7 linked regions of the Daphnia pulex genome follow. The protein of the gene in region 1 purifies or fractionates together with the protein of each later gene. This does not show direct contact. Links are inferred from orthologs where the notes say so. Each region holds a gene or a part of one and is shown in the gene's direction. Other genes may lie near its edges. The genes, in order: RNA-binding protein with serine-rich domain 1-B-like, ATP-dependent RNA helicase DHX8-like, pre-mRNA 3' end processing protein WDR33-like, serine/threonine-protein kinase prp4-like, E3 ubiquitin-protein ligase RBBP6-like, AMP deaminase 2-like and cleavage and polyadenylation specificity factor subunit 6-like.

Region 1 (3,519 bases):
GAGCGGAAATCCATCGTCACAAGATTGATGTGACAGTCATTAACCCCGGATACATCCGCACAAGTTTGTCTCTGAACGCGCTGACGGGCCGAGGAGACAAATATGGACAGACGGATGAAACTACGGAGTCGGGAGCGGATCCACTCCAAGCTGCATATGAAATTGTCATTGCAATTAAGGAAAAAACCCAAGAGCTGATGCTCTGCTCACTCTTTTATCGTTTAGCAGTATTTCTTCGTGCAATTCTACCCAACGTTTATTTCAAACTTATGGCGCGTCGAGCGGCCAAGAGCAAAAAAAGTCGTTAATTTCTAGTAGAGAATCTCTAATACATTCTGATATAATAAGGATGTATTGTTCAGTTTGTACATTTGGGAAGTTTTCTTTATAACAAGACTACTTGAAGGCAATAAAGTACAGCTTCCAAAGGGTAATGCTAGCTGCTGTAACACAGATGGTGCAATGAAGAGTCTTCCGTTTGTTATCATCTCTTCTTACGAGAACTATGGGACTGGAAGTGGTCAACCTATTAACTGGTAATTTGGCCAGTCTTTTTGTATCCATTTCAACCTGAAGCAAAACCGATATCTGCTATGACCTTTGCCAACTTAGTCAAGTGTATGTATTCTACCTGGTATTTACAGCAAGGATCAAATTGCCAAGATGCTGTGTACAGTCCTGTACACAGCAAGGAAAGGAGACCTAATGGAGTGTATATGTATGGACGATTATCACAGAAAAATCCTAAACAGGAAATTTAACAAAATTAGACTTATATAATGCAACAACTGAATACTAGCAACAATTTACCTGTTATGACCGAACCAAGTCCAGCAAGTACTGCTGTCTTGTGAAGACAATTTCCAACGGCGATCCATCGCGCCGTTTCATCGCCTAGTCGAACTGGCTCAATGACAATTACTGGAACAGCAGCTTCCAGAGCTCGTTCTAGTTCTAGCTCAAATCTTTCCTGGGCGTTTTCACCGTCATAGATTTCTCTTACGACCGCTATTTCCGCCGAATGTGGCCCGCTAAAATTTGAAACAGCATCATAATATTATTGTGACGACCGGAAGCTTATAATATTTTTAAACAGTCATGCAAGGGATTACCTGCTCTTTCTCCTGTCTGCCATTTCTTTTGCCACTTGGCCAGTGTTTTCAAGTGGTTGCTATACGTACTGACGGCCTTGTAGAGTTTCGGCAACAGCCCAAAAACAATCATTGCCGAAACATTTTTTCGTTGCCGTCGGCTGTCGTACAACTAGTTTAACATTTTAATAATAAAAAATTAAATAATCTTTGATTTAATCTTTAAAAAATTCACATAACTTGTTCCAATTAAAAAACTATAACTTTACATTCATAAAAATAAAAACGAGAATCTATTTAATACAGGCAACGTTGTGCAAGTGGCATTAAGCGTCTGTTTTTAACGCTCCTCCCCTTTATCAACTCGTATGTTTTTCAATAAAACTTTCTGAAAATGTGAGTAAATCGAGTTAAATCCTCAGCATCATTTAATAATTTAGTAAATTTTTACGATGAATCTAAATTAACAATATTTTAAATTTGTGTAAATCACTTAGGCCGGACAAAGAAACTGGCGATCGAAAAGACCGGAAAGCCGGCGAAGATTCCAGTAAATCAAAAGATGCTAGCAAAGACAAAAAGGATACCAAAGATTCTGGGAAGAAAAAAGGCAGAGCTTCAAGCAGTGATAGTTCTTCAAGCAGAAGGTAGTGTTAAACTTTGTTGTGTTTAATGAAACCTTCAGCTTAATGTGACATTTCAGTTCTAGATCGTCCAGCAGCAGCAGTAGCAGCAGCTCTAGTTCACGATCATCCAGCAGTTCTTCTTCAGACTCTAGATCATCATCTAGTTCATCTAGCTCTTCTGATTCATCAGGTTCCTCACGTTCCAGCGGTTCATTAAAGAAGCACCAGAAAAAGAGGTAATTATTCTAGTTGGATGACGGTAAACAAGTTTCTTGTGATAACAGCATTTTTGTTGACGTACAGAGCCCCAGCGAGTGATAAGCCAAAAGTTGATAGCAAACCTGATGAAGAGAAAACAAAACTGGATGGAGAAAAGAATGTTGACAAAGACAGAAACAAAGAAAACAAACGATCCCGCTCTACATCTCCCCGGAGGCGTCGTCGCGATCGTTCACCTACACCCAAGCCACTTCGAATCCACATCGGCCGACTGACGCGCAATGTCAACAAGGAACACATTAACGAAATTTTCTCCGTTTACGGAACCATCAAAGCTGTCGAGTTTCCCAACGAACGTGCTGGGTTAAGTCACCTCCACCGGGGCTTTGCTTACATCGAGTTCAGTACTGCCGACGAAGCAGAAAATGCAATGAAGCATATGGACGGAGGTAAAGTAACGTTTGTTGGTTACTGCTATAAATACGTTTTTAATCTCAAATAATCTCTAGGCCAAATTGATGGACAAGAAATCACAGCCGCCCCTGTGCTGATCCCTAAAAACCGTCCACCACCACCTCGACGGAATTCACCACCCAGAAATCGACCGGGCCGTTGGGGCATGGGTGGTGGTCGATCTCCACCAAGGTAATATACTACTAAAGTAAATCTTTATTCCGGTTATTTGCATCTGTTGTGTTCATTTCTACAGATTCCGAAGACGTTCTCCCCTACGTCGACGATCTCCTCCACGAAGGGACAGAGATAGGAGACCACCTCCACCTGCCCGTTCCAGGTCTCGTTCACCCAATCGCCGTTCAGGTGGCAACAATCGCCGTTACAGTCGCAGTTCATCATCTTCTTCGCGTTAAATAAGACAATCATGATTTATTTAACGTTGAAGAACGTCCACTCTTTTTTTTTTATCAACTCAACTTTGTGCTCGTGATTCAGATTTTGCTTTCGCCCGAGCTGTTGCTGATGAGTCAATAGCGTAAATGCCACACGTATTCCGTAAATTTTCCCTTTTTCGATGGAATCCTGCAAGACGATACAATATCACCTGACAATGGCATTTGTCCTTCAGTTGTTTCTACTACATTTCTTTTTCATTTGAAATGAAAAGTCTTATTATTATTTTATCTATCAATTTAAAAAGTTACCCAACCGCAAGTTTATGTTGCCATCTGACGTTTTCCAGTAATCCGAGTAGTAATGCTTTCTTTTTAAAGTCAATGGCTGCTGGAGGAGAAACCGGATAAGCCTTAAAAAAAAACTAGTTGGATCTGTTTGTTGGAAACTCAATAGAAGTGTGTGTAGCGGGACATGACAAGTCAGAACACTTTCATTCCGGTTTACAAGTGACATGTGAAAGGCGGGAGATACGGTTTCGCCTCGGTGTTATAAACACAAAGAAAGGAACAGCAAATTTTTATCAGGGGGAGGGTAGAAATTTCTCACAACCGGAATGTAGCTGTTTCTAACTGCTTTTTTCCTCCTATGAAAAAGTCGATTTGGTAAATTGTGTTGTCTTCCTACATCCGGCAACGGCGCGCCCAACAGTTGGAACAAATTTGTTTGCACAG
Region 2 (3,996 bases), on another chromosome or scaffold:
CGTCTGTCCTGGTACTTTGCAGTTTCTGTCAACATTTTAATGAGCGAATAACTACAATTACCATTTTTCAGTCTGTTCCCAACTTGTTTCCGACATCAAGTTCGTCGGTAGCTGGATCAGACCACCATTTACATCATCAGTCGGACATTCAGCAACATTTACGACGACTCGACGATGTCTCTAACGAAGCAAGTTTGCCGGCTTATGAGGCCCGCCTTCCTATTCCGCTGGCTAATCAGCTTACTGGCCTCACCAACTTAACTGGCTTAAGTAGTAGTGGATATCTATCAGCTATTGCTGCTTCCGAACTGGTCAACTCTTCATCCAACTATGACCTTATGACACATGGCGATATGGAGCAACTCTCACTTGAAATTGAGAAAGAGAGGTTGTAAATCTATCGTAGGAATTGTTGCGTAATTGTTTGCTCATTTTTTAAAATAAATTTAGAGTCGAATACTTGGAAAAATCGAAGCAACTGCAGGAGCAACTGAGAGAATTGCGTACAGAGATTGAAGTCTTGAAAGTAGGTGAAAAACAAACGCTTTACGATCAGCTACACGAAGAGCAACTCCGTTCAGGGGACGACAAATACTCAACTCTCAAAAAGGTACGCATGAATGAGAGTCATTAATTCAAATTTGAGTTAATTTTTCTTTTTTTCCTAGTCAAAATCTGGATCGACTGGAGCGCGCGTGGCCTTTTTCGAAGAGCTGTAGCTTAAGTCATATTTTTAATTTTACTTTTGACAATGTGTTGTACATAAATTTTAAATTGGCTGACCATTTTCATGGATGCAACTTAGTTTATAATCTTTAATTCACTAAGTTGCCCATTTTCGTGAAATCTTATCATCATAGACATTAGACAAATAGACTTTCATTTAAAAAAAACTTAACTCTTGTTGACTAATGAGTAATGTCTTTTACTAGTAGCAGCATCGGCGTTGTTTACATTCTTATATGAATTTTGCAAAATGAACCTGTATGTCTAGAATACCAATTCAATATGAACATGGAAAAGTTTCATTCAAATTCAAACACAAAATGCAGAGAACCGAGAAAGATTAGATAATTCTTCATTTCAATCTGTGAAACGCAAAAGTTAACAAATTCATTTCGAAAAAATGTAAATATTTTTTGCGCGCAATGTTGCCAGTTCATCTATTAATTTTGATTTTTCTTTTACAGCATTCTTGCAACGTTGTCTTAACAACGAAAGCATTCGTTTTTTCGTCGGCTCGTCAATTTCCACATTCGTCGCCATCCCAATTGTTGTGCTGTCAATTTGTAAATGATTTAATAAGTGGCAAAATATCCTATATCATCATGGATGAATTAGAGAAACTCGAACACCTGTCGCTTGTTTCTAAGGTGTGCACAGAATTGGAAAACCATTTGGGACTCAACGATAAAGATCTGGCAGAGTTCATCATCGCATTGGCCGAAAAACACAAGACCTTTGATGAGTTCAAAAGTGTAATGCTGGAGAATGGCGCCGAGTTTTCAGACTCTCTCATTGCAAATTTGCTTCGTCTTATCAAACACATGAAATCAGCCAACTCGAAAACAACTGATGTGAACTTAGCCCAGGTAAAGAAAACAGTTTACAATGCAGAAACAGAGAAGAAACGGGAACTCTTCCCTGGTCTTGCCTTAGCAGATAACCCTAAGGCAAGAACAATGCTTCTCGAAGACATAAAATTGACTATTAAAGATGTTGAAGAAGCTAACGATTTAATGGCTGAACTAGAAGCCATGGCTCCTAAAGAAGAAAAGATTTCTACTGAAGCAATCGAGCCTGTTCAGGAAAGAGCAAGGAGTAAAGACAAGAAGGAAAGAAGCAGACGTTCAAGAAGCAAGGACCGCAGCAGAAGATCAAGAAGCAGAGACCGCAGCAAGAGATCCAGAAGCAGAGACCGAAGTAGAAGGTCAAGAAGCAGAGATCAAAAGAGGAGATCAAGAAGCAGGGACAGAAGTCACAGGTCCAGGAGTACAGATAGAGGAGATCGAAACAGAACAAGTGATCGTCATCATGATAAAAGAAGTAACGAAGGCAGACGAGAATCCCCAAGTCGAAAGAAACCTCAAAAAGATTTTCCAGAGAATCCAGAAGTGGGAAATGTCTACGCGGGAAAAATCATGAATCTTGCAGCTTTTGGTTGTTTTGTACAAATTGAAGGAATACGGAAAAAATGTGAGGGTCTAGTGCACATCTCCCAGTTGCGACGAGAAGGCCGTGTGAATAGTGTGGCTGAAGTTGTCAATCGTGGAGATAAGGTTCATGTCAAAGTTATGAGCATTGCTGGCCAAAAGATCTCTCTTTCTATGAAAGATGTGGACCAAGACACTGGCGAAGATTTGAACCCAGCTCCTTCGACGTCAAGCCGCCCTGGACTAACCAGCCAGGAAAGTGAAACAGCTTTAAGGAATCCAGATCGACCTCTCTCATTGCTAGATTTGAAGGCAAATGTAGAGGAGGATGAACTAACCAACCGCAAGCGTGTGCAACGGATTTCGTCTCCTGAACGCTGGGAACTGAAGCAAATGATGGCAGCAAATTGTATCGACAAAATGGACTTGCCCGAATTCGACGAAGAAACGGGTTTACTGCCAAAGCTGGCCGAAGACGAAGAAGATATCGAAATCGAGTTGGTGGAAGAAGAGGCACCCTTTCTTCGAGGTCACGGTCGAGTGCTTAATGAACTTAGTCCGGTTCGTATCGTCAAGAATCCCGACGGTTCTCTAGCTCAAGCCGCCATGATGCAAGGCGCTCTCAGCAAAGAACGCCGCGAACAGAAAATGTTGCTCAGAGAAGAACAAGAAGCAGCTGACGCACCGGCTCAAGGCGCCAACAAGACCTGGATTGATCCCATGCCGGATGCTGGGGCTGCACCGTCAACGTCGTTGGGTCGCGGAACGGGAGCCCCTGTATACGACATGCCCGAATGGAAAAAGCACATCACTGGTGGACCGAAAGGAGCCTCTTTCGGCAAGAAAACTAGTTTGTCCATCGTCGAGCAACGTCAATCACTTCCCATCTACAAACTCAGAGATGAACTGATCAAAGCTGTCAATGACAACCAAATCCTAATTGTCATCGGTGAGACGGGCTCGGGAAAAACTACGCAAATCACTCAATATCTATCCGAGTCCGGATTCACGGCTCGTGGAAAGATCGGCTGTACGCAGCCTCGTCGTGTGGCCGCCATGTCCGTTGCCAAGCGAGTTTCGGAAGAGTTTGGTTGTCGTCTAGGACAGGAAGTTGGATACACGATTCGTTTTGAAGATTGCACCAGTCCTGAAACTTTGATCAAGTACATGACGGATGGTATGTTGCTGCGTGAATGCTTGATTGATCCCGATCTGCAATCGTATTCCTGCATCATGTTGGACGAAGCCCACGAAAGAACTATTCACACAGACGTTCTTTTCGGTCTTCTCAAGCAAGCCGTCCAGAAGCGAGCCGAACTCAAACTCATCGTAACGTCGGCCACTTTGGATGCCGTGAAATTCTCGCAGTACTTTTTCGAGGCGCCCATCTTCACCATTCCGGGTCGAACTTTTCCCGTCGAGATATTGTATACTCGGGAACCTGAGACGGATTACTTGGATGCCTCGCTCATTACCGTCATGCAGATCCACCTTAACGAACCACCGGGCGACATTCTTCTTTTCTTGACTGGTCAGGAAGAGATCGATACTGCCTGCGAAATTCTATACGAGCGCATGAAGTCCATGGGCCCTGACGTTCCTGAGCTCATCATTCTTCCCGTCTATTCCGCTCTACCGTCTGAAATGCAAACTCGAATTTTCGAACCGGCTCCACCAGGCTCCCGAAAAGTTGTTATCGCCACCAACATCGCCGAGACCAGTCTTACCATCGACGGTATCTACTATGTCGTCGATCCTGGTTTTGTCAAGCAGAAAGTCTACAATTCCAAGACCGGAATGGACTCTTTGGTGGTGACACCCATTTCACAGGCGCAAGCCAAGC
Region 3 (2,364 bases), on another chromosome or scaffold:
TCCCAGGAATGGGACCCGAAGACAAAGTGGAAGCAGAAGGCGGAGACGGACAACTCGGTCAGAGTAGCCTCAGTTTATTAAGCGCAGGCATGATTCCTGGTCTGGATGTGGAACCATTAGCACAAGACGTGAAACCCATCAAGAAAGTTCCGTATGCCAAACCAATTCCACGTCACTTCCAGGCACAATGGAATGAGAGCAGTGCTAGTAAGAAACCAGCCATCTTACCCACTCCCAGCCTATCGTCAGCATCGGGTGTACTGTCTGATGAAGAGGATCACGTCCTTGGTGTTGATCCCGTTGCCTTTGGAATGGAACAGTTGGGTCGCGCATCTCTGACCCTGTTCGGCCTACCGGCTAATGATCCAGAGCAGTTGCAAGAATTGCTCGACACGGCTCAGTCGTTGCCTGTTACTCAACTTCCCACTCCGACAGCTGTCATAATCGATGGCACGATACTGTCCATCGAAGCCGATTCAGAGTTAGAGAAAGCCATTCGTACTGGCGAAGAAGAGTTTAATCAGGTTCTATCTTCGATGGGCTTGAAAGTTACTGTTGAGGAGGAGGAGACTAAACCCGAAGTAGTTCCAACTGGCGAGTACAATCAAGATCGAGAATTGGACGACGACGATTTCTATCCGCGCTCTCGAACACCTGTTCTTGACGACTCTCCGGGCTACAACAGGGGTCATTCAGGAATTGGTCCAACACCAACTGGTGGTCTTCTAGGAGACTTCCCTCAGAGAGGTAATTAATTTGCATAAATGATTGTTCTGCTGTTGGCACTGTACTAAATTATTGAATAGTTGTAGAGTTTCAACAGAGGGGCCACCCTGTTCAGCCCATCCGTCATCCGTTACCACCAGGAGCTGGGCAGCAACACCACCACCATCATTTACCGCAACAACAGCAACCGCAACAACAACAGCAGCAGCAACACAATCACCACCATAATCACGGAGGCTGGCAAGGCCAACCTCCACCTCAAGGTTTGATTGAAATAGTCGAAGAAAAATGACGCAACTTGAACTTATCTGTCGGTTATTTATTTTTAGAAATGGGAAATTGGGATCGCCCACCTTTCGAACCACAACAGCAACCAGATCGCTTTCCTCCGCGACCACCTCATAGTCAGGGTCCAATGAATAGACCCTACTTCCAGCCACCGCACCATCAGGACCGATTTAATCAAAGTGGACCTCCACTTCCACCTCCAGGCAGAGGTACGCTCATGGTTTTAAGTTTAAGTAATCTAATGCAAACTAATTATGCGGATGGAAAAACAGGGAGAGGTCATCACGGACCACCAGGTGGAAATCAAGCGTGGGGTGGTCCACCACCATCTATCGATAATGAAGAAGAACTGCATTATATGGGAAATGGAGGACCCCCAATGCAGCCCATTGAAGACGACATGCGGATGGAAGGCGGTTATCCGCCTCCCCCACCTCCACAAATGAGTGATCGGCATGGCGAAGGAAACTTTGGCGGTTGGGGTCCTGGTCCCAACAACTATCGAGGGGGTGGTGAACCTCCCGGCCCTTTTGAAAGAGGCGACGAGGATTACGGTGGTAGGGGACCACCACCAGGTCATTTCGCTCCAAGCTATCCTGGACAATTCCATCCACCACCACCGCATCATCAGCCTCCACCAGGCCGTTGGAATCCAGAAGGCGGAGGTGGACGGGGAGGTTTCGGGAGGGGTGGAGGTGGTCGGCGACCTCGAAGAGGAGGATATAACAACTATTGATGAAAGAATTTCAATGCGACTGATGGATGATTTTGTATCTCTTATTTTCTCGCCATTTTTTATAAAATGTGTACAAAATTGAAAATGAATAATGCTCGCCATGTTCACGACATACCAACTGACTAACTCTAGGACCAAACAAAATTCAAACACCAAAATAAAAGGTCAATCCTCGTTGGACGTTAGCCTATTTGGAATTGTACAAGGGGCAGTCTACATCATTCATTTCAACGTAGACTGACTTCAACTGAGTATAACATTGGATGGCTTCAGTACTGCATTCGACACCGATGCCACTCTGCTTGAACCCACCGAAAGGCAATTCGACTGGTGTGACGTTGAAGTTGTTCACCCAAATTGTACCAGATTGCAAACGGTCCGAAGTTCGGTGTGCTCTTCTCAGGTCTCTGTAAAAGTGTAATCGTTAAGTTTCACAGAAATGAGATTTATTTTAGGTAAACAATACTTTGTAAAAATGCCAGCACTCAATCCGTAAGGAGTTTGATTGGCTCGACGAATAACTTCTTCCTCGGTATCAAACGGCAAAATGGTAGCGACTGGTCCAAAAATTTCTTCTTTTACAACCGTCATGTCGTCATGGCAATTGGTTAGAA
Region 4 (2,139 bases), on another chromosome or scaffold:
CCCAATCAGTTGGGTATTAATCTGTTTGGATCGAACTGTTTACGTAATGCTGTGAACTATGTGCCTTGTCATCAACGGGCTTTCGCCGGATATCTTTTCCCTTATGATGGCGAGAGATGATGCCAATTTTTTTAAGTGGACACAAATTTAAAGCAATCCTCTTTTGTTCTTTTCAGGCATAAAACTGGGCTCAAAGAACTGGAGATTTTGCGAAAGCTCAACGATGCCGATTCGGAAGACAAACATCATTGCGTTCGACTTTTTCGACACTTTTTCCATAAACAGCATTTATGCTTGGTCTTTGAGCCGTTAGCTATGAATCTGAGAGAGGTGACATCACTATAAATTTATATCTATATTGATTTATATTTCATAATGCTTTCTTTTCTCCGAAGGTTTTGAAAAAATACGGCAAAGATGTCGGGCTCAATATCAAAGCCGTCCGATCTTACAGTCAGCAACTTTTCCTAGCGCTTCGGCTTCTTAAAAAAGTCAATATTCTGCATGCTGATATCAAACCAGATAATATTTTAGTAAGCCTCACTTAAATCCTCAAAAACATTAAAACTCCAATTTTTACATTCCTTTGGTTAATCGCCATGGAATACATTTAGGAATTTAAAATAAGTTGTAAAGATTTCGTTGTTTCACAGGTTCATGAAAATAAAGTAATGTTGAAGTTAGGTGATTTCGGATCAGCATCTCACGTTGCCGAAAATGAAATCACGCCTTATTTAGTCAGCCGTTTTTATCGATCTCCTGAGATTAGTAAGTAGTAGATTAAATCTCCGGTTACAATTTTCAAAGGAACTCTACAATACTCACTATTTCTACCTGTAGTTTTAGGAATGCCATATGATTATGGCGTTGATGTCTGGTCTTTGGCTTGCACCATATATGAGTTGTACACTGGTAAAATCTTGTTTCCTGGTAATTCAAACAACCAGGTAAAAATTTAATGAACTTTCTGATGTTTGATTCGTTTGTTCAGTGTTTCATCAAGATGTATGTGTTTGTCTACATTTAATTTGTTAGATGCTGAAGCTGTTCATGGATTTAAAAGGGAAATTTCCTAACAAATTGATCAGAAAAGGAGCCTTTAAAGATCAGCACTTCGATTCCAGTTTTAATTTTCTATCCCGCGAGGTGGATAAGCTGACAGAAAGGGTATTTTTAATTTTATTAAAATGAAAAAAAAATTTCTCATTATTGCTTTATACCCTTTTCATTCATTTCTCTTTAATTGCATTTTGTAGGAGAAAGTAGTTATTATGTCTACAGTAAATCCAATACGTGATTTGCAAAATGAATTAATCGGGGGTCAACATTTACCTGACGACCAATACCGAAAAGTCCTGCAATTACGGGATATGCTAGACAAATTTCTAATGCTCGATCCAACTAAACGATTAACGATCCACCAAGCGTTAACCCACCCATTTGTGACGGAAAAGATTTAGAATTCTTGAATTCGACATCTCATGGCTTGGAGATTATTCGCCATTCGGTGGATATTTGATGAACTTCGATTTAGTTCAATACTTTCTTTCGCTCCACTATTCCCTTATCTAGCCTACTCCTGGATTTTGAATGAATCGAATGGTTTGACAATACACCATGTAGTTTAATTATAACAAAATTTGTTAGATTTTTTTTTGATTTTTTTATTCAGCTTTAAAGGTCGTCGCATCGCATAAAAAGCCAGCCGGAGCATAGGCAATGACAAGCATCGTAAATGCCGTTCAGGCGACGCCAACGCCATGTGGGCAAAAGACGAAACTAGTGTCTGTCGTCAGTTCGGCACTGAAAAGTCGAGGATATGTTATAAATGTGGAATGGACGCGGTTTTAAATTAGAAAAACTCTGTTTAATTGGCTCTTATTTCACCAATCTGACTATTTACAATTATTGTGGCTTGTGGTAAGTTTTCGAAACGATCGTAAAGAATGCTTTGTATCTTTGGACTGGGTTGTGTTGGGGAGTGGGTGACACTTGAAGCTCAGGAGCTTACCTCAAAGCTGTTAAATTACATTAGGAAGAAACTTATTGGCCATTTGTTTAGTATTGAAAAGTGATATTTTGCCATTTGTATGATATTTTCTTCTTAAGTGTACAGGTCTGAAATTCTGTGAACTGATG
Region 5 (4,300 bases), on another chromosome or scaffold:
GGCATGATGTTATCATTCTTTATTTCAAAAGGATGAAGAATTCAAGGAAGAAATTGCAACTTCTCCGGTGGCCGAAGAAGAGTTTAATGAAGAACCGAGTGAACCACCTCCACCGGGCGGAGAAAGCCTCGAAGAAGTTAGAGTCCCTACGCCTACGGTCGATGAAAAGCCTCCTGCAACTCCGACTGCTAGTGCTGAGGGTACCCAGGCTGATGTGGTTAAACAGTCACCTACCGCACCTTCGAAAAGTACCCCACCGACAGTCAACAATTTGTCTATTTTAGCTCAGAAAGCTCCATTGATTGCACTTCAACAAGCTTTATTACAAGGAAATCCACTCTTGCTTGGTATGATCTATAATCTAGTTCCAGAAGAGATTGTTTCTCTAAGACGTTGTAAATATCGTTACAGGCTCACAGAATATACAACAGATTGCCCTAATTCAACAAGGGCTGATGGCGATGCAGCGTATTCCTCATTCTTCACAGTCAGCTCCTTTGTTGCCTACACCCACTCCAATACAGACTGCTCCGGTTTCGCAGACAATACCGCCGCAGAATTCTGTTCCGATTCAGCCACTCATGACTGCCCAACCTCCCACTCACATACCACCTCCGGGATTCCCTCGATCCATGCCGCCGCCTAGATTTCAGGGTCCATCGATCCCACCTCCCGGGGCTAGACCAATGATGCCCCCAGGAGGACCAAGAGGACTACCTCCAATGGGCTACCCAGGGTAAAATGAACATAGCAGAGTGACTTTTGAATTTAACAAGCAATTCTTAAAGCAAATTTTTCTTGTTTGCGTTATAGTGCTCCGCCGTTTCCTCCTAATGGCATGGGAATGCCTCCAGGCTACGGCAATCATGCTTCTAGTGCAGCCAGTCAACTGGCCAGCCACCCGATTTTACAGCAAGGGTATTTATAATAATTCAAATCCTTTTGTTTGAATCGCACTTAGAATGTGCCATTGAATAACGAATTTCAGTGTGATCGAAGACCCCTTGGCTGCCTTTGAGAAACTCTTAAAGGAGAAAGAAGAACGTGACAGAGCACGAAAAAAGCGAAGATCAATTTCGCGGTCAAGGAGTCGCTCTCGGTCTAGAACACGTCGATCTAAATCACCTAGGCAGCGGAGTCGATCGCGCAGTGGATCTCCTCCCCGAAGGCAATTATCGTTCTTTTCTATTTTGAAAATCCTTGCGTTATGTTTTGGTTACACTTACATTTTTTCATCCCTGAAGGAGACATTTTCTTTGATTTCCTTATCGTGTGCCAATTTATTTAAATTTTTTTTTATATTTTACATTTCGACACTTGACTCCTGTTTCCTTTTTGCCTTTCTTGTTTGTCACGGTACACGTATGTTGAAGAAGACGTTGACTAATCTCGTGTTGGTTGTGAATGGTTTAGACGTTCTCGATCTCATTCTCCCAGCCGACGGAGAAGAAGTCCAGCAGTACGTGCTCGCAGAGGTAGATCGCGATCGCGGTCTCAATCGGGTGGGAGATCTCCTAGTCCTCGGAGCGGACGTCATGGGTTTTACGACCGGTCACCGTCACATGGATCCCCTGGAAGGTAAAAAAACAAAAAATGATTTTTCTTCCTATAATTCAATAAAGTGTTTCAAATTTGTCTTTCTTTCCATTAAAGATACCCTCGAGAGTATCGTGAAGAGTTCCCTAATGCTGCATCGGCAAATTATTACCCACCATACGGTTATCCACCTATGGGTCCACAAGGCCTACCAATGAGAGGATACGGCGGTCCTCCAGGTCCAATGGGCCCGATCGGCAGAGGTGGCCCCATGGGTGGTTATGTACCACGAGGACCACACTTTGGAATCGGCATGCCTAGAGGAATGGGACCACGTGGACCCTACCCTCCTGGATACATGGGACCAAGAGGACCAATGGGAATCGTAGGTGCTCCTCCTTCTCTGCTCTCACTCGACCTGGGAAGAGGTCGTGGATATCGAGAAGAACGACGGACTGACTACGAGCGTGAATACTACAACCCCGAAGCAGACCGAACTCGCCGTTCACCTCCGCCACCTCCACCTGGAGAATTTGAATCAGACGCTCCTCTTATTTACACTAAACCACGTCGTCCAGATCAGCCCGAAAAAGGCCCAGAAAAGCCCAGAGAAAGAATCAAAGAGCGCGAACGTGAAAGAGATCACGGCCATATGAAGGATGGCCGAGAGCGGGAACGCGAAAGGGATCGGGAGCGAGGAGATCGAGACAAGGAAAGAGAACGCGATCGTGACCGTGATCGCGAGAGGGAGCGAGAACGCGAACGAGACAGAGAGAGAGATCGTGAGCGGGAAAAAGGCAGATCTCGACACGAAGTCCGGGATACTAAAGATACCAGTCGACGAACGGAAGCCATTTCGCGAGAACGGGATCGTGATCGAGCGGGATCTCCCAGTTCGGTCAGCAGCAAGTCCAGTACGACTACCAAGGAGAAATCCAAGGAGAAGGAAAAAGAAAGAGATCGTGAAAAGGAGAAGAAAAAGGAAAAGAAAGAAAAGGATGAAGAGGACAAGAAGAAGGACAAGAAACGCAAGAAGAAGAAGGAAAAAGAAAAGGAGAAAGACAAGGAGAAAGAAAAGAAGGACAAGAAAAAAAGCAAACACGACAAAAAGAAGAGCGCCGACAGCGAAGACCGCGAAGCTGAAGCTGTACGAACGCAAAACCAATTGGACCAGCCATCAATTCCTGGTAAATTTGTTTTGCCTTCAAAAAAATTGGTGTCATCAGTTTGGTAGTTTTATTGACAGTTTCCTATTTTGTATTTGACAGGCGATCGTAGCGGAGTGATGGATGATTCTGCCACAACAGGAGTCGACAGAGCGAAATTGGAGCATGCAAATCATCGAGAGAGCGATGACTTTCGAATTCCGACAGTTCCAGAGGAAGAAGCCGCCTTAGAAGATGTTCTTATCATAACCACTGACAAAAGCCTCGAATCACTCGTGGACGACATCCCACCTACAGAAGAAGATTCCGACAGTTCTAAAACAGTGAAAAAGGATAGAAGCAGGGAAAGAGAGAAGGACGATAAAGTGAAAGAAACCAAAGTTCTGCCACTTCCGCACTCGCGCTGGGAGGAAGATTCGGAAGAAGATGAAGGAATTGACTCCGTGAAGAACGTGACTGACGTTGGCGCTATTGGTGGAGACTCTGGTCAAGTCAAACGGCCAGATAATGCCATCTTTCGTCGGGCTATTAGTGCTATCAAGCCTAAAGTGATCGAAATTAAATTGCGACCCGAACGTCGAGTCTTGCTGGATTCAGCCCCAGAAAAGATCGGAGAAATTGAAATGGACGACAGCGGAAACGCAAGAGTGTCTCCGGATTCCTTATTGAATCTAAGAGTCGCCGCCTCCGCCGCCGCCCCGGCAGTGGTACCGAAATTCAATCCCGCCCTTGTCGATTTGAAACTCCTTGACGTTGACGAGAAGAAGAAATCGGTGCGCGACAGGTTGGGTGACAAAATTGAGCCGGAACAACCACCTGCTAGGAATCACGACAAGTCGGACGACACCAAGGACACCAAAGTTGATAAATCGAAAGAAAAGAAGGACGGTGGTAAAAAGGACAAGGAAAAACGTTCTAGTCCCGCCAAAGACAAGGTAATTAATTTAGTGCAAACAGATTTGATTCACAGCTTTGAGAAATAATGGGAACGTGTCCGATGTTTGTTTTATTCAGAAGGATCGCAAAGAAGATAAACGTGACAAAGACAAACGAAGTCGAGCTAAGGAGAAGGACAAGGATAAGAAACACAAACGTAAAGAAAAGGAAGAAAAGAAGAGCAAAGAAGACAAAGAAAAGAAGGATGAAATGAAGCCTTCCAACACTGACGTTCGCCACGGCGACAAAACGAAATCGAGCAAAAACGATGACAAGCAAATCGGTACAATCGTCTTTTCTTTTTTTTTCCCCTGTTTCGGCTGTCCTCCTCACGTCGTTTCTATTTTGAATAAATTTACATTCTGACTCGTAGACAAAGACAAGGAGAAATCTGAAAAGATCAAGAAGCGGAAGCGTTCCTGGTCGAGCAGTACTAGCAGCAGTAGTTCCAGCAGCACTTCAGACTCGGAAAGCAGCTCATCTGAATCGGGCGGTGGCGGAGGTGGTAAGCGCAAGAAGAAGAATCGTAAGAAGCGTCACGTTTCTTCCAGCAGTGATTCTTCCGACTCGAGTCGCGAGCCCAAGAAGAAGAAGAAAAAGTCCAAAAAGACTTCGTCGAAGCGGAAGCAGAAAAAGACTTCTTCGCAGTGAATATACAACGC
Region 6 (2,780 bases), on another chromosome or scaffold:
TTGACAGTCGACATGCTTGACGTTCACGCGGTACGTGCATATCCACACATACAGTTAAACGTGTACAGTTCTTTTTTTCTGTTTTTCAAGCATCTTTCTTTTGTTTTAGGATCGCAATACCTTCCATCGATTCGATAAGTTCAATGCGAAATATAATCCTATAGGAGAAAGTCGTTTACGCGAAGTATTTCTTAAAACCGATAACTACGTGGGAGGGAAATATTTTGCAGAAATTATTAAAGTACAATTAAGAACTAAAACAATAAAATAAGTTGCCGCTGATCCTACCGACTTTGTTGTTTGAAATCCAGGAGGTAGCCGCAGACTTGGAGGAGAGTAAATATCAAAATGCCGAGTTGCGACTATCTGTCTATGGAAAATCCAGGGATGAGTGGGAGAAATTGGCCAAGTGGGCTCACAACTTTCAAGTTTATTCGGACAATATCCGCTGGCTGGTTCAAATGCCGCGTTTATAGTAAGTAAATTCTACTTTAATAGCATTATTATATTAAATACATTTGAAGAACAGTTATCTCACGGTTTCTCACGAAGGCGGAATATTGTTTTGGTATCTCATTTCATCACTATTCGATGCATACTGTTAAATTTGATAGATTATGTTAGTTCTAGAGACCTGCGAAGACCACCTCTCTGGCGCAATAATACTATATACTCTAGTTCACCACGTAATTCATTTATTTATTTTTTTATTCTTAGTAGTATTATTAAGTCACGAACCTTTATACAAAATTTGAAATGTTTTAAGCTTTACTGTAAATGAAAGGGAGTTTACAAAAAGTATTTTACCTATACATTTCTACTTTGCAGTGATATTTATAGATCAAACAAGCTGATTAGCAACTTTCAACAACTGATCGACAATCTATTTCTTCCTTTATTCGAAGCAACCAACAATCCAGAAGCGCATCCCGAGTTACATTGTTTTCTTAAACAGGTAAACTGTTATTTTCTTTGCTCCCACCAGAGATGGCTCCCACTGCATAGGATCTTTTGCTATCGCATTTTTTTTAAATTATTTTAATTAACCTAATTGTTGTTAATTGAACAGTTGGTGGGTTTTGATTCTGTTGACGATGAAAGTAAACCTGAACATCCGGTGTTCGATAGAGAAGTTCCAACACCGGAAGAGTGGACGGAAGAAGAAAATCCTCCTTACGCTTATTACGTCTACTACGTTTACGCCAATATGTGTGTTTTAAACCAATTTCGAAAGTAAGCAATGAGTTTCATCCAAAATTAAACATGTCATTGTAATGCACCACGATAAAACAATTTATCAGGTCACGAGGAATGAACACTTTCGTCTTCAGACCTCATTGCGGCGAAGCAGGGCCAGTTCAACATTTGATTTGTGGTTTCCTTCTCGCTGAAAATATTTCTCATGGTTTGCTATTGAGAAAGGTGAATTCTTGTTAACTCTACTCGTTTGTACTGCATCATCGATTAATATGTGAATCTGCTTGGTGTGGTGACAGGTCCCAGTGTTGCAGTATTTATACTACTTGTGCCAGATCGGAATAGCAATGTCTCCATTGAGCAATAATTCTCTTTTTTTGAATTATCATCGCAATCCACTTCCCGAGTTTCTGGCCCGAGGAATGTGCATTTCTCTTTCGACAGATGATCCGCTTCAATTTCATTTCACCAAAGTATGGATGAACAGTTATGAATTTCTAACATAAATACTTCTCATAAATTAAGAATTCAGTTACTTATTCTTATTTCCCTGTAGCTATCTGTTAAAATTTTACATAGAGTTTCTTTATGTGTTTCTATATTTTGAAAAATCTTTAGGAACCTTTAATGGAAGAATACAGCATTGCAGCTCAAGTGTGGAAACTTAGCCCGTGCGACATGTGTGAATTGGCTCATAATTCCGTTCGAATGAGTGGCTACCCTCATAAAGTAAATTACCTTTCAAAATATTTTTTTTTATTTTGAAGGTAAAATAGCTGTGTTAAATAACAGGTGAAACAACATTGGCTAGGCCCCAACTATACACGCGAAGGTGTGGCCGGTAATGACATTTTCAGGACGAACGTCCCTGACATACGCGTTGCATACCGCTATGAAACACTGGTAGCGGAACTAAATAGCATTTTCAAAACTGTTTTACTCAACGATCATAAAGGATTTGTTAACGAAAAATGAGCGAAAAGTAGAGCCTATATACAGTTAAAACTGTAATAAGCAACGATTCTGTAAGTGCAGATACAAAGTAACCGAATTTGTCATGCTTATATTAAAAAAAAAAAAACATAAAAAAAAGTTTTTAAATTAGTAATGAGTGCATTTTTCTTTTTCTGAGAAGTAGGGGAGGGGACTTATCTCTATTTGAAACGAATTTTATTAGTTTTTTAACAATCATTCCTTGATTTGGTATTACTGGCTTTTAGAAGATAAAAGAACTAAATTTTAATGCCATTATTTAAAAACATAATAAATCGTTATTCATCAAATTCGTCTAATACACTATTAAAAAACAGCGCTTTTTTTTAATCTGCAAAATTTGAAATATATATATACTGTATATAGTTGGTAGTTTCTAAAATATTAGGACTAACATCACGAATTTTAATGTTAAAAACACACAAGGCACAACTTACTTTGAATTTGCAATGGACTCTAGCTCTAGCTTCAATAAGAGATATAGAAGTAGAAAATATTTTCTATATCTGTTATTCTTATCTGTTAAACGTTTTACTTTACACTGTAATGGCAAATGGCAATAAAGCGCCCGATATCGCTCAGATTCAAAC
Region 7 (4,226 bases), on another chromosome or scaffold:
CCATTCGAGCAAGATTACAAAAAAAATTTTGTCAATAAAAATTATTAATTGCCAACACCATCTTCCGCAAAAAAAATACAACAAGCATCAATCATTCAAACATTTATATCATTCCTATCTCTGCAATTCATTACATAAAACATTCCATATAAATGAAAAAAAATAGATTGACTCACCACAGCTTTCATTTAATGTTTATCACATTTCAACATTTCACTTCGATAAAAAAAACAATCTTCATTGCTTTCACTTCATTAAATTGTAACACATAATAATTCACACAACATTAGCTAAACTCATCACAATAATTCATATCACTAATCACTATTCATATCTGACAAAAAACTCACTTTAAAAAAATTCTTCTCACAAAACTGATGCACCAACTAACAGACAAATATTCAACAGCAGCCAATTTGAAACAACAACTTTCCAACTAAGAATCTGAATCAACACTGAATATCTGACTGTAAAACATCAAGAAAAAAAGAAAAACACAAGGTTATACTAAGAATAATGTGATATCAACAGTACTAAGAAAACATCAATCTAAATGAAGAACTAACCAAGGCCACGGACAAAATAACAACCACGAAACACTGGCCCTGCCAAATTTATTTCCTTTCCTCTGATTTTATTCGACACAAGAGGTGCAACAGTGAGGTATAGAATGACAAACAGAGAAAACAATACGAAAACTTAATTTTTAAATTTCCTAATCAAGAAAAAAAACGAAAGGAGACTTATAAAATCTCGAAGGTGCCACAAAGGGGCTTGATTAATGGTTAATGAAATGGACTCTGTCATTTTTTCGTTGCAGCAGAGAAAACATTGGGTAGTACGTTTATAAATAAAGTAAATACGTTAAGTTTATGATAATTGTGTTGCTTAAAGGACTTGTTCTTTTTTATTTAACATACTTAAGAAGCATCAACATACTTTTTAAAACTTTAAGTACGTTAAATCTATGATAAGTGTGTTGCTAAAAGTACTTGTTCTGTAAACATACTTAATTTCATTTTTATAAACATACTTATTTTTTTGTAAGCATGTTACACTTCGAAGAAGCATGAAATTTTGCTTTTCAGTTTGTTTATAATTCTTACCAAAAAGCGTAACGTGTTAAGTAATCTTAAAGTGCTGAAATAGGGCTAAAATAAGCATCCTACCGAGCTTCCGTGTAGCTTTTAACTGTCGGTCAACAGTATCAAAATAATGTTTTACCTGTCTGACAAGAAAAGACTTCAAATATACTAGGATAACTAGGAAATTATGTTGGATCGTGTCGGATTTATGCGGGTTTTTTTTTTTTGCAAGATTTTTGCGGGATTTTGAAGAAAATCGTGCAAGATAAAGTGCAGGATTTTTAAAAAAAAAAAAAACGGATTTTCGGGACTTTTTAGGCAACCCTGCACGACTTTGCTATTTCAGAAGTGGCAGCACTGGTGGAAACAGAGAAGAAGTTCAAGACTGTGGTCGTTGGCCATAGACTAAACTTCATAAAATGGCTGACGTGCCTGATATTGACTTGTATGCCGACGATCTTGGTGATGATTTTCATGGTGTAAGTTTACGTACTTATTTATAGTTACCGGAAGAATGCGATGTTAATATTCTGTAGTTCGTTTATCAATAACTTATTTATGTACATTTATGTTCATTTTCTGTTGTTATCCCACCGCAGTGTTTGGCGTGGCGTCTTTGCTGTTTACCGTTATTAGATGAGACAGCATCATTTAACTTATTTTCTTAACTGATTACAGGATGGTGACGAACAAATTGGCGATGGCGTTGACTTGTATGATGACGTCTTGACATCTTCAACGAGCATCAAGCAGGAACTAAATGGAAAGGAGAAGATCTCAACGCTATCTTCTCATATCACATCCAGCTCTCTACATGGTTCATCTTCATTGATCGGAACTCCACTTCAGCTTCATGGCAGCAACAGCTCATCACAATCCAAAAGGATCCAGTTGTACGTGGGCAATCTGACGTGGGTACGATTATTCAAACCTTTCCATTTATAAAACCAATTGTTCAAAGTGTCGTTTTATTTATCTAAAAAGTAATTGTGCTGTATATCGAATCATTCCCAGATAGTTCCCAATTGTTTATTTTTATTTTATCGACATTAATCAAATTGTTAAGTCTGTGATATCAACCTAGCCACCATGTTGTTATGATGGAGGGGCTATGATGTGTGATAAAACTGTATGATGGCATTCAAAATTGAAAGAAGGGCATCATGAATGTTGATGTATGTATGTGTATGTGAGAAGGCATACCAATTCAGGGACATGAACGACCATGCATGTTGTACGCTGTGTATCTGCACTTTTTAAATAATTTTTTTTATCATCTATTGATCTATCATAAGTAGTCCATCAAAACTTATCATTAGCCCCTATCAAAACCTTTGACTGAAGGTTTTTGAGTTGTGTTGTATTACGTTTCTCAGGATGCGGTCCTCCATAGAACTCCCCAGAAAAAAAATTCTTGTCAATCAGTTTTGCGTAACTGATGTGCCACATCCATCGCCCCATGTTTTTTTTTCTCCTTTGATCTCTGAAATCGTCATCTCTGCCAAACGATATTTGAGTCGAATGAATTGTTAGTTTGGGGTGGGATATCGCTTGATATGACAATCTCAGCCACGTATTATAACAACCGCTGGCGCCCATGTGCAGGAACATCTTTGATGATGACAAGAAAAAGAAACTGCACTCTGGCATACACTCACTACAAATTGCGCGGCTGTGTAAAGGTGCCCGATCAAAATATCTTTTATTTGACCAATACAATTATGGTATGGATGTAATCGGCAGAAAACGATTTTCATGCTTTGTTTTTCTATATTATCTTTCTTTCTTTTGTTTTTTAAACAAACAAACCCAATCCAAAACAACAACAAACGACAACGACACAACATCAATTTTGTGGTTGTTGGACAATACAGTGGACCACAGATGCCGACGTGGAGAATGCAATCAGCGCGATTGGCGTCCAAGACCTGGTGGAGGTGCGATTTCATGAAAACCGAGCCAACGGCCAGTCGAAAGGCTTCTGCGTCATCACCGTCGGTTCCGAGATCAGCGCTCGTCAATGCATGGACAAACTTCCCAAAAAGGATCTGCACGGACAGACGCCCATCGTCACCTTCACATCCAAACAGGCGCTCAATCAGGTAAGATCAAAACATTTCTTAATCGTTTAGTGCTGCTAGACGAATTTTTTCCAAGTGCATACCAGTAGAACCATTGACTGTCTAAATTGAATACAGTTCAAAGGTGGGAAAGTGTAATGCAACATTAAAACCAATCAAGTCTGTAAACCTACAAGTGTCGTACAATTTAACACTTAACGGACGACTTGACTGGAACATCTTTAAACATTTATGTTTTATGCATTTCTTTTAATGTCAAAATATTTTTCTTATTCAGTTTGAGGCGCAGTCAAAGAGCCGCCCATCTAGACAATCAAGTCCTCCGCGGAGTACCGGTTCTGCTCCATCCGGAGTTCCGTCGCTAACAGTCGGATTACTCGGACCTCCTCCAATGAATGGGCCTCCTCCTAGGATGATGATGGGTCCGTCAGCTTCTTCATCCGGACCCCCACCTTTAACGAGTCTCTCATTACCTCCGCCACCTTCAGTTCGTGGTCCACCGACACCCGGAGGCATTCCCGTTCCGCCACCGACGCATCACCTTCTTCCACATCCGGTCATGTCACCTACGGTCGTACCGCGAGGTCCACCACCCGGCATGGGGATGCGTGGGCCTCCGCCCGGAATGGATATGAATCCTCATCGTATTCCGCCTCCTGGCAACGGCCGGCCAGAATGGGCCAACATAGTCCAGCAGCCAGCTCCTCACGTCAATCCGGCATTCTTCCCTCCGCCCGTTGCGGCACCTCCGCCTGGATTCCCTCCACCGATCGGCCCACCACCACCATTCATCACTGATAATCGGCCACCGCACACCAATGAGCCGCCAAACGTCAGTGAAGCCGAATTCGAGGAAGTGATGGGCCGCAACCGAACAGTTTCTTCTTCCGCCATTGCTCGAGCTGTTGCGGATGCCTCAACTGGTATGTCTTCAAGCTTCATTTTGCTCATTGAACCAAAATCAGTAGTAACTTATCTGTCTTCTTCATCCAATCAGGTGATTACGCCAGTGCAATCGAGACGCTAGTAACGGCCATTTCGCTCATCAAACAGTCAAAAG

Evidence for each region.
Region 2: the proteins of RNA-binding protein with serine-rich domain 1-B-like (region 1) and ATP-dependent RNA helicase DHX8-like purify together in Homo sapiens (co-immunoprecipitation; 3 studies listed by BioGRID and IntAct, with this or other methods). This does not show direct contact. The link is inferred for Daphnia pulex from reciprocal best matches to the Homo sapiens genes RNPS1 and DHX8.
Region 3: the proteins of RNA-binding protein with serine-rich domain 1-B-like (region 1) and pre-mRNA 3' end processing protein WDR33-like purify together in Homo sapiens (co-immunoprecipitation; 3 studies listed by BioGRID and IntAct, with this or other methods). This does not show direct contact. The link is inferred for Daphnia pulex from reciprocal best matches to the Homo sapiens genes RNPS1 and WDR33.
Region 4: the proteins of RNA-binding protein with serine-rich domain 1-B-like (region 1) and serine/threonine-protein kinase prp4-like purify together in Homo sapiens (co-immunoprecipitation; 4 studies listed by BioGRID and IntAct, with this or other methods). This does not show direct contact. The link is inferred for Daphnia pulex from reciprocal best matches to the Homo sapiens genes RNPS1 and PRP4K.
Region 5: the proteins of RNA-binding protein with serine-rich domain 1-B-like (region 1) and E3 ubiquitin-protein ligase RBBP6-like purify together in Homo sapiens (co-immunoprecipitation; 3 studies listed by BioGRID and IntAct, with this or other methods). This does not show direct contact. The link is inferred for Daphnia pulex from reciprocal best matches to the Homo sapiens genes RNPS1 and RBBP6.
Region 6: the proteins of RNA-binding protein with serine-rich domain 1-B-like (region 1) and AMP deaminase 2-like purify together in Homo sapiens (co-immunoprecipitation; 3 studies listed by BioGRID and IntAct, with this or other methods). This does not show direct contact. The link is inferred for Daphnia pulex from reciprocal best matches to the Homo sapiens genes RNPS1 and AMPD2.
Region 7: the proteins of RNA-binding protein with serine-rich domain 1-B-like (region 1) and cleavage and polyadenylation specificity factor subunit 6-like purify together in Homo sapiens (co-immunoprecipitation; 3 studies listed by BioGRID and IntAct, with this or other methods). This does not show direct contact. The link is inferred for Daphnia pulex from reciprocal best matches to the Homo sapiens genes RNPS1 and CPSF6.

The regions. Positions count from the first base shown.
Region 1 is NC_060025.1:2,684,696-2,688,214, reverse strand, and holds RNA-binding protein with serine-rich domain 1-B-like, read left to right. Parts: upstream 1-1,403; 5' UTR 1,404-1,485; coding exon 1,486-1,487; intron 1,488-1,588; coding exon 1,589-1,738; intron 1,739-1,794; coding exon 1,795-1,953; intron 1,954-2,020; coding exon 2,021-2,385; intron 2,386-2,445; coding exon 2,446-2,581; intron 2,582-2,645; coding exon 2,646-2,805; 3' UTR 2,806-3,019; downstream 3,020-3,519. Other genes in the region: dehydrogenase/reductase SDR family protein 7-like, read left to right, coding at 1-308; transmembrane protein 11, mitochondrial-like, read right to left, coding at 397-570, 632-744, 811-1,031, 1,113-1,135. UniProt on the Homo sapiens protein: Part of pre- and post-splicing multiprotein mRNP complexes. Auxiliary component of the splicing-dependent multiprotein exon junction complex (EJC) deposited at splice junction on mRNAs.
Region 2 is NC_060022.1:2,536,267-2,540,262, reverse strand, and holds the start of ATP-dependent RNA helicase DHX8-like, read left to right. Parts: upstream 1-1,196; 5' UTR 1,197-1,328; coding exon 1,329-3,996. Other genes in the region: merlin-like, read left to right, coding at 1-11, 72-388, 451-610, 669-719.
Region 3 is NC_060018.1:835,642-838,005, reverse strand, and holds the end of pre-mRNA 3' end processing protein WDR33-like, read left to right. Parts: coding exon 1-747; intron 748-806; coding exon 807-989; intron 990-1,055; coding exon 1,056-1,223; intron 1,224-1,286; coding exon 1,287-1,750; 3' UTR 1,751-1,864; downstream 1,865-2,364. Other genes in the region: 4-trimethylaminobutyraldehyde dehydrogenase A-like, read right to left, coding at 1,938-2,157, 2,217-2,364. UniProt on the Homo sapiens protein: Essential for both cleavage and polyadenylation of pre-mRNA 3' ends.
Region 4 is NC_060020.1:7,009,495-7,011,633, forward strand, and holds the end of serine/threonine-protein kinase prp4-like, read left to right. Parts: intron 1-176; coding exon 177-330; intron 331-395; coding exon 396-533; intron 534-653; coding exon 654-768; intron 769-840; coding exon 841-947; intron 948-1,035; coding exon 1,036-1,167; intron 1,168-1,256; coding exon 1,257-1,460; 3' UTR 1,461-1,639; downstream 1,640-2,139. UniProt on the Homo sapiens protein: Serine/threonine kinase involved in spliceosomal assembly as well as mitosis and signaling regulation. Connects chromatin mediated regulation of transcription and pre-mRNA splicing.
Region 5 is NC_060018.1:4,205,544-4,209,843, reverse strand, and holds part of E3 ubiquitin-protein ligase RBBP6-like, read left to right. Parts: intron 1-31; coding exon 32-347; intron 348-411; coding exon 412-736; intron 737-813; coding exon 814-918; intron 919-988; coding exon 989-1,168; intron 1,169-1,413; coding exon 1,414-1,578; intron 1,579-1,653; coding exon 1,654-2,723; intron 2,724-2,804; coding exon 2,805-3,637; intron 3,638-3,716; coding exon 3,717-3,921; intron 3,922-4,011; coding exon 4,012-4,289; 3' UTR 4,290-4,300. UniProt on the Homo sapiens protein: E3 ubiquitin-protein ligase which promotes ubiquitination of YBX1, leading to its degradation by the proteasome.
Region 6 is NC_060020.1:5,365,623-5,368,402, reverse strand, and holds the end of AMP deaminase 2-like, read left to right. Parts: coding exon 1-30; intron 31-109; coding exon 110-241; intron 242-311; coding exon 312-475; intron 476-828; coding exon 829-955; intron 956-1,069; coding exon 1,070-1,233; intron 1,234-1,301; coding exon 1,302-1,422; intron 1,423-1,496; coding exon 1,497-1,670; intron 1,671-1,815; coding exon 1,816-1,926; intron 1,927-1,989; coding exon 1,990-2,172; 3' UTR 2,173-2,280; downstream 2,281-2,780. UniProt on the Homo sapiens protein: AMP deaminase plays a critical role in energy metabolism. Catalyzes the deamination of AMP to IMP and plays an important role in the purine nucleotide cycle.
Region 7 is NC_060024.1:13,144,831-13,149,056, forward strand, and holds the start of cleavage and polyadenylation specificity factor subunit 6-like, read left to right. Parts: upstream 1-1,426; 5' UTR 1,427-1,504; coding exon 1,505-1,564; intron 1,565-1,763; coding exon 1,764-2,000; exon of another isoform or gene 2,001-2,641; coding exon of another isoform or gene 2,642-2,809; intron 2,810-2,959; coding exon 2,960-3,187; intron 3,188-3,443; coding exon 3,444-4,089; intron 4,090-4,163; coding exon 4,164-4,226. UniProt on the Homo sapiens protein: Component of the cleavage factor Im (CFIm) complex that functions as an activator of the pre-mRNA 3'-end cleavage and polyadenylation processing required for the maturation of pre-mRNA into functional mRNAs.